2 linked regions of the Ovis aries genome follow. The protein of the gene in region 1 binds, or shares a complex with, the protein of each later gene. Links are inferred from orthologs where the notes say so. Each region holds a gene or a part of one and is shown on either strand. Other genes may lie near its edges. The genes, in order: SYK and TYROBP.

Region 1 (3,814 bases):
CTAGTTAGATCATCAGGGTATGTCATCTATTTCTGAGACTGTTGGACATTCCCAGGGTCATGAAGAGCTGAGAATATGTTCTTGACACCCTTTTCTGCTATCTCGTCTCTGTTACATTTTCTAATGGGTCAGGGTAGACTCTACATACACTCTGTGACTGAGTTCATATGAGGATGGGGCTGTTTACTTTTTTCCCTTCTTTTACTTGCTATCAGTTCATTTGAGGGTTCATAAAGAAGCTTTGAAAAATCCTACTAGAGTCAACCTGTCCAATATGTATTTTCCAAAGTAATTTAACAAATGAATTCTATTCTTGTTTTTTTTTCCAGATGAATCATCATTAATACCTTGATTCCCTATTTTTCTAAGGAACATAGTTTGGAAGATACTATTCGGAGTAAATCTCAAGTTGTGACATATTAGAGTATTTCCATCTTTTTAACAATAGAATCAAAGCTTAAGAAGAACATTTCTTACACAGTCATTTTTCTATAGGGAAACTGCTTCTTGAAATCTTACCAAAATAAAATAAAGAACCATATATTTGCATTTCAGATTTTTACTACCAGCTGCTCTCAATGGTGGGTGAGTTGTTCGTACCTTGTAGTAGTTTTCATCAGCACGAAGTGCTTTGGAAAGTCCAAAATCACTGATCTTGGCATAATGTTGAGTAACCAGCAATACATTCCTTGCAGCCAGATCTCTGTGCACAAAATTGCACTCTTCCAAATATTTCATTCCCATAGACACCTGATGAACCAGCTCTATGATGTTTTTATCCTTGACATGCCTGAAAGCCACACATATGTCATTAATGATAGTGAACAGGAGTCCATTTCAGAGCAACCAACCATGCTTCTCACACAGAGAGAATATGAACCCACTTATTTCCTATTCTTCTAAAGCAAGAGTCACAAGTGGCAGTGACTGGTATTCAGCTGCTAGAATTACATGAAAAGCAGTATAACAGGGTGGTCAGACCTGGCTCATGGAGAATCAGGGTTCAGTTAGAACCCTCATTCCAATATTGAAAAGGTAAGAACACAACCTTGAGTCCCACTGAAGCACAAGCATAGGTACAAATGGGATAAAGTAATCAGTGGCTATTGTTATGATTTATTCCTCATGATTCTCTATCTCAACCATGACTGGAGATGAGCATAGCATGATTACTCCATTGATGGTTGCCATGAATTAACAGCAATGGATATTTTCAAAAATAATTACTTATGGGAATGCAGTAGTTAGCCAGATATGTAAAATATCACTGTTTTCCCATATAAAATGTTTATTTAATTGTTTCCTTTAAAAGAGCACATTCTTTCTGCCTGGTGAGAGGAGAATGCTTTCTAAGATAGTCTAGGGCTGACTTTATTACCAGGCCAGTATGACATGAGCAAAGGAGACCAAATTGTTGAATTAGAGTTTTTCTTTATACATTAAGGGGTAAAGAACACTTGATCCAAAGACTACAGCTTTCAAACCTCCCCACTCAAGGTCCCTGAGGGTGGGCCAACTCTTGGAAGGCACCGGAGGAGACAAGGGTTCTGGAAGAAATCAGGCTATGATGTGCACTGGGCAGGCAGGCCCTGCCCCTCACATATGAGCTACTGGGGCACCTAAGGATACCTGTTCTGTTGTAAATATTTGTTGAGTGGACCAAGTTCTGCCATCTCCATGACCAGCATCCAGGACTCAGCTTCACATATCCCTATCATGCGCACAATGTAAGGGTTGTCAAGCTGCTGCATGACATTCGCTTCTGCTAATAACTCATCCTTAAGAGCAGGGTCATTGGCCTCATTTTTCAGGATTTTCACAGCCACTGTTTTCACAACTCTGCAAAAGAAATCAAAACACATAAGAAACTTTCCAAAGTGGTTCACGTATGGATAATTATCTTCCATGACGCATAATTCCTGTGCTGGAAATGAAGTAATGGAAATACCTGCCACAGAGTGGAAATATGTCTGAAGAAGCCATGTTGTACATGGCTAATTCTTCAATCATGTTCTCTCATTTTATAGACAAGGAGTAATATGTAATTAGTTGAAAATAATCGGAGAGTGCCGAAGAATGCCCCAACCAACCAGAAAGCTGACACACTAGAATATTTAAATAACTTTCAAACAAACTTTAAAAACTGACATGCATGGATTCCAGTAACATCTTGAGATTTATCACATCATTATCTATAATGTATGTAATTACAGCATGCCTTTAATATATGTTACAATGAATTTCTAGATGCAGAATTAAAAAGCATGCACTGTTGAAGCTTATAATTTACAAAACACTTCTAAAAACTGAATTTTGTTCATTTTAAGCATGCTTCAAAAAGTTTGGAAAAAAACTAATTTTTTTCCATTTTTGAATAAAAGCATCATTTAAGTCATGTTTGAACTCTTGAAAATATCCTGACATGGTGGGGGCTTAAAGAAATAAATAGCACTTAAATATGTACAATTTGAAAAACTGCATCTTTTCATGATACAGTTCCCACAAATGCAGGAAGTATAACTCTTTTGTTGAACTTCAAAAGTAGAAAATAAAAACAGATGTATCAAATAAAATACGTTAAATAACATAATAACAGGTAAGTCTGACATACATTCAGAAAAGAACATATAGCTGCAGTGTAGAACTCAAGAGTATTTACACATTGCACACAAGATGTAGTTCCTACACAGATGGAAGTATAGAACGTATCCAGTACCCAAGAAGCCTCTGCATCCTCCTCCTGAGATCAAGGAAATATAATATCATGCCATCTCTAGATAGCTTATTGTTTCACCTTTCACATTTCGGTCTACCATCCATCTGGAATTAGTTTCATGTATGGTGTGAGGTAGGGGTCAAAAATAACAAGCACAAACTTCTTGATTCTTCCAATGTTTAAGGAAGAAAGACCATTCACAAAGTTTTCCAGAAACAAAAGGAGGAAGGGAACTTCCCAACTCATTTTATGATGTTACCATCAGCCTGATGCCAAAACCAGACAAAAAAATTACAGGAAAATAATTTACTGATATCTCCCATCAATGTAGATGCAAAAATCCAAAGGGAAATATTAGAAAATTTAATTCAGTGCTTTATGAGAAAGATATAATGAATATATAATTCATGAATAAGATAGGTTTATTCCAGGAATGCAAGGTGGGTTTAACATTTGAAAATCAATCAGTGTAATTCATCCATAAACACAACAAAGGAGAAAAAGACTATCAGCAGAGGAGAAAAACTAAACAAAAAATGTAACACCCACTTACAATTAAAAACAAATCTCTCAGAAAAGTAGAAATAAAAGGGAACTTCCATAATCTGATAAACAGCAGCTATGAACCTACTGGTGAAATATTGAAAGTTTTCCCCCTGAAATTAGGAATGAGGAATGTGACCGCTGACACTTTTATTTAACATTGAACCACAGTATCTAGTTAGTACAATAAGACAAGGAAGAAGTGTAAAAGTATAAGAATTGCACAGGATAAAATCAAACTGTTGTTATTTATAGATGATATATTTCTGGGTCAAACAATACACAAATAAACTACTGGAAATAATGAGTGAAAAATAATAGAAGAGTTTAAGAAAAGTTGTTGGACATCAGGCAAACAGACAAAATCATATTCTTGCATTCAAGCAATGCCAAGGAATAGCAAGAAAAAATTTTAAAATTATACCACATATAAAACCAAAAATATTAAATACCTATGAATGAATCCAGCAAAGAAGCTGTGCACGACCTGTACACAAAAAACTAAATAATTTTGCTCAGAGAAATTAAAGACCCAAGTAAATGGAAAAATGGGTC
Region 2 (4,493 bases), on another chromosome or scaffold:
AGGGTCTGTCTCATGACTGGCATCCAGTTTCCCCTTTTTCTTTCCTGAGCCCAGGCCCGGGGAACTGTGAGTGTGCCGCCTGGACGGGGCTTCCTGCCGCTGGCCCATCCCCCTGTAGCCCCTAACCTCAGGTTCCTCCTTCCCCAGCTGTGGCTCCTCTCCTGTTGCGGCTAAAAGTCCTTGTCATCTCCTGGGTGGCCTCTCTCAGTACGGGCTTCCAGCCACTTCCTCATTTGACAGGGGCAGCCCAGCCTGGCCGAGTGTCACCCATTGCCCCCACCTGCCGCACCCCAAAGCCCTAGGCCTGGGTCTGTGCTGTGTGCATCTGTGTGACTGCCTAGTCGTCTCCCTCTTTCTCTGCCTGGTCGCCACTTTCTCCTTCCCTCGCCTCCATCTTGGTTCTTTTCTCTTTTTCTTCAAGGGTCAGATATCTGTCCTTGGGTCCTGGGTTCTATGTCCACATTTATTTGCTGTGTCACTTTGGACGAGTGTCTTTATCCTTCTCTAAAATGGAATAAAAGCATCTACCTCCTCAGGAGGGTGTGCTGTGCTTCATTGTTCAGTCATGTCTGACTCTTCGCGACCCCATGGACTGTAGCCCACCAGGCACCTCTGTCCATGGGGATTCTCCAGGCAAGAATACTGGAGTGGGTAGCCTATCCCTCCTCCAGGGGATCTTCCCAACCCAGGTCTCCCGCATTCCAGGTGAATTCTTTACCATCTAAGCCACCAGGGAAACTCAAGAATACTGGAGTGGGTAGCCTATCCCTTCTCCAGGTGATCTTCCCAAGCCAGGAATCAAACCAGGGTCTCCTGAATTACAGGTGGATTCTTTACCAACTGAGCTACCAGGGAAGCTGCCTCAGAATGGTGTGCTTGGGTTTAAATGCATTAACACTTGGACAGGGTGCCTGTGCGTTACTAAAACCCGTATCCTGGTGGTCTCTTTTAATATCCTATGAACATTACAAGGTTCTGATTGTCAAATAAATATAACTGGTGCTTATAAAAAGCTGACAAGTGTCAGACCCTGTTCTAGAGATACAAATTTATTCAACCCTCACAACACCCTTCAAAGTAGGTATTATTTTACTCCTTGTTTTACAGGTGAGGAAACTGAGGCCCAGAGAGGTTGAGTGACTTTGCTCAAGGTTGTCCAGCCAGGAAGAGGCAGAGATTAGCTCCAATCACAGTCAGCCAGAGACCCTCCTGTGACAATGATGGTGGACCTCTGTCTGGGGGTGGAGGTTGAATGGACACATGCGCCCATCACCCTTCATTCTAACCACTGGAGGCTGCAGCCTGGGGTGTTTGGGCCTGACTCTCTTTGGTGATGTCTGTCTGTCTCTGTTCCTCCTCCCCCACCGTCCCCTCCTCCCTCCTGCCACCACCCACCTCAGACTTCCTCCTTTACTTGGTTGGACACTACGCCACATCCCACCCGCCTTGGACTGTGGTGTCCAGCAGCGTTGCCTGCATCATGGGGGGCCTTAGACCCTCCGATAGGCTCCTATCTCTCCTTCTGACTGTGGGTGGTGAGTTGGGGGCTTCTGCAGCTTCTGGGCTCAGCACGGGGCAGGGCAGGGAGCTGGGTGGAAAGAGAGAATTGAAGTGGGGCGGGGGAGTGTTGGGACTGCAGCAGATCCCCAGCTCCCCAAACCCTATGAGTCTCTCCCAGAGCCTGCGCTCCTACCCGCCCCAAGATTTAGCCTGGGGAGAAGCAGAGGGAGCGGACTCTAAGAGTGTTGCGACAGGACAAGTCGATGTAGAAGGAACACAGTCCAGAGGCCTTGATGACGGCCCCCAGCTCCCTCTCATGCACGCCGGGCATCAGGAGACACCCTCCCCAGCTTCTATGCCTACCCCGCAGTCACAGCCCCGTGTCTCAGTTTACCTTCTTTTCCTCTCCTCAGGTCTCAGCCTCGTCCAGGCCCAGAGGGGTAGGTCTAGACCTTGCAATCCCCCACCCTACCTCCCAGAGATTGCCCCACCTCTGGACCCTTCCCCGGCCTCTCCACACCTCCCCCGCTGATGACTGACACCTCCTCCCAATTCCTACTCCCAGTGGCCTCCCCTGACTCCTATAACACATCCATTCCCAGAATGCAACTGCTCCTCGTTGAGCCCAGGCGTGCTGGCAGGGATCGTGCTGGGGGACCTGATGCTGACCCTCCTCATCGCTCTGGCTGTGTACTCCCTGGGTCGGCTGGTCCCTCGGGGGCGAGGGGCTGCGGAGGGTGAGTGGGGCTGGCTGGGGATGGCCTGGGACCCTCTGAGGACTTGCCTGGAAAGGGAAGGGTAAGCTCCCAAGTCACAGCCTCCCAAAGGGAGGTGATGGAGGGGCTGACTTTGGAACAAGAAAATAGTCCCAATTCTCACCCCACCCCTGAGCAGTGACCCGGAAACAGCACATCACGGAGACAGAGTCGCCTTATCAGGTAAGGAAACCAAGTTCTTGCCTCATCTCTCACTCCGGCCCTGTGGTTGTCTGTCCGAAATGGCCCTCTCCCAGTCCCGGCAGAACCCAGACCCTGAAGCCACTTTCTCAGGAGCTCCTCAAACACTGAACATGAAGCGTCCAAAACTGCTTTCAGTGATCAGTCATGACCTTACCTCAGCTTACCATGTACGGAGGGGAAATTCAGCGATGATTTGCCTCAGCCAGAAGGCAGGAAAAGCCCAGCCCAGGACATGCTGATTTCTCAGAGAAGTCCTCCGAAGAGCAGAGGATATAATTCAACCCAATTTACTAACTTTAAAATGAGGAGTTTTAGAATTAATAGTGGGGGGCAGGGAGCAGATCTTGTCTCCTTTTGAGAAACTGACAAAAGCCAGAGACTCCTCAGAAAAAATCCATACGAAAAACGTAAAACTGTTCATATAATCTACGGGCAGTGCAAGTATCCCTGAAACCCTCCTTAAGAACGATGATACAGGGACTTTCCTGGTGGTCCAATGGCCAAGACTCCACGCTCCCAATGCAGGGAGCTCAGGTTCAGTCCCTGGTTAGGGAACTAGATCCCACAGGCCGCAACTAAGAACCATGATGCAAATGTCATCTTTCCATCTTCCACCCCGTCAGTGTTATTCTTAACCCTTTACGGGATCATGAGTTCCTCTGAGAATCTAATGGAAGACAAACAGACCCTCTCCAGAAAGATGAACTCCCAGACCAGGCATTTGTATGTGATTTTAGGGATATCTGAGGCGGGCATCTTGGGGCCACAGACCCTTACCCCACCCCCACTGTGAACCCTGCTCTGTGAAGTCTGTTTTATTTGTCTGCAACCAGCTCTGGTTTGCCCCACTCGTGGCTTGAAAGTCTCTCTGTAAAATATAAGAATCTCAAGTTTGGCTCCATGAGGACCAGAAGACTCAAGGGAATTTCCAGTTCCTGGGAGGCAGTAACATTTTAGGGCAAAGCCCCAATTCATTCATTCCTTTGGTGAAATTTGTTGAGGGGTTATTTAGGCTAGATGCTGGCGAGCTTACATCCTAGCTGGAGAGACAGTCTTGAAGCAAATTAACAAGATCACTTGGGGAGGCAGTGTGAAGAAAATAAAGCATATTGATGTGACAAGGACTGGGCTGAGAGGAGGAGAAACTAGAGATGAGGGAACCAAGAAATGCCTCTCAGGGAATTCCCTGGTGGTCCAGTGGTTAAGACTCTGTGCTTCCAATGCAGGGGGGCCCAGGTTTGATCTCTGTTCCACATGCCATGTGGTCAAAGGAAAAGAGAAATGCCTCTCTGAGAAAATGCCATGAGCTGAGACTAGAAAGGGGAGAAGGAGCCTCCCATGGGAATATCTGGGGGACTGGTGTTCCAGGCAGAGAGAAGAGCACACCCAAAGGCCCCTTGCCTGGGGCGTAATGGTGAGGCAGAGGGAAGAGGCGAACACTGAATGCCTTTGAATAAAATCCCAGATCTCTTTCATGGCTACAAAGTTGAAGAAGCTTCCGGAGGCCTTGCCAGCCCCTGGAAGAAAGCTAGATTTTCAGTTTATTTGGTCCATACCCTGGTGGTCCTTTCACTGATGGTCCATACCCTATCCATCCCTTAGGAGCTCCAGGGCCAGAGGACAGATGTCTACAGCGACCTCAATACACAGAGGCCATATTACAAATGAGTCCAAAGCAGGGCAGTCAACAACCTGATGTCTGGATCCAGTCATTCCTGATGCCTGCTCAGCACTCTACTCCTAATCTCACCAAGACACAGATGCACAGAGTGACCTCCATAAGATGTCAGACCTCTCCCCACTATTGCCCCCAAATAAACATTCGAGCACACAAGCAATGCTGAGTTATTCCAGATCCCTGGGCTGATGGGGTGGGGATATATGGAGTCCTGGGGGGATCAAGGACTCAGAAAACAGATAAATGAGAAGGAGCCTTTGAGAAAGAATTAAAACAAGAAGTATTTCAATGGCTTTATTCCAGCCCCAAAGCAGGGTGGATTTTCTTGTGCCGCCACCCACATGCAGGATGAGAAG

The links.
Region 2: the proteins of SYK (region 1) and TYROBP are in contact, whole or in part, in a crystal structure (PDB 7Q5W), measured with the Homo sapiens proteins. The link is inferred for Ovis aries from reciprocal best matches to the Homo sapiens genes SYK and TYROBP. Residues at the interface, in NP_001167638.1 of Homo sapiens: Arg22, Arg42, Asn46, His62, His63, Tyr64, Thr65, Ile76, Ala77, Gly78, Gly79, His92, Asp97, Gly98, Leu99, Arg175, Arg195, Arg197, Lys212, Leu214, His215, Tyr216, Arg217, Ile228, Pro229, Glu230, Gly231, Lys232, His243, Lys247; in NP_003323.1 of Homo sapiens: Pro90, Tyr91, Gln92, Glu93, Leu94, Gln95, Arg98, Ser99, Asp100, Val101, Tyr102, Ser103, Asp104, Leu105, Asn106.

What each region holds. Positions count from the first base shown.
Region 1 is NC_056055.1:25,897,603-25,901,416, reverse strand, and holds part of SYK (tyrosine-protein kinase SYK), read right to left. Parts: intron 1,840-3,814; coding exon 1,630-1,839; intron 791-1,629; coding exon 601-790; intron 1-600. UniProt on the Homo sapiens protein: Non-receptor tyrosine kinase which mediates signal transduction downstream of a variety of transmembrane receptors including classical immunoreceptors like the B-cell receptor (BCR).
Region 2 is NC_056067.1:45,899,051-45,903,543, reverse strand, and holds TYROBP (TYRO protein tyrosine kinase-binding protein), read left to right. Parts: upstream 1-1,424; 5' UTR 1,425-1,480; coding exon 1,481-1,535; intron 1,536-1,913; coding exon 1,914-1,940; intron 1,941-2,102; coding exon 2,103-2,237; intron 2,238-2,394; coding exon 2,395-2,438; intron 2,439-4,061; coding exon 4,062-4,127; 3' UTR 4,128-4,293; downstream 4,294-4,493. UniProt on the Homo sapiens protein: Adapter protein which non-covalently associates with activating receptors found on the surface of a variety of immune cells to mediate signaling and cell activation following ligand binding by the receptors.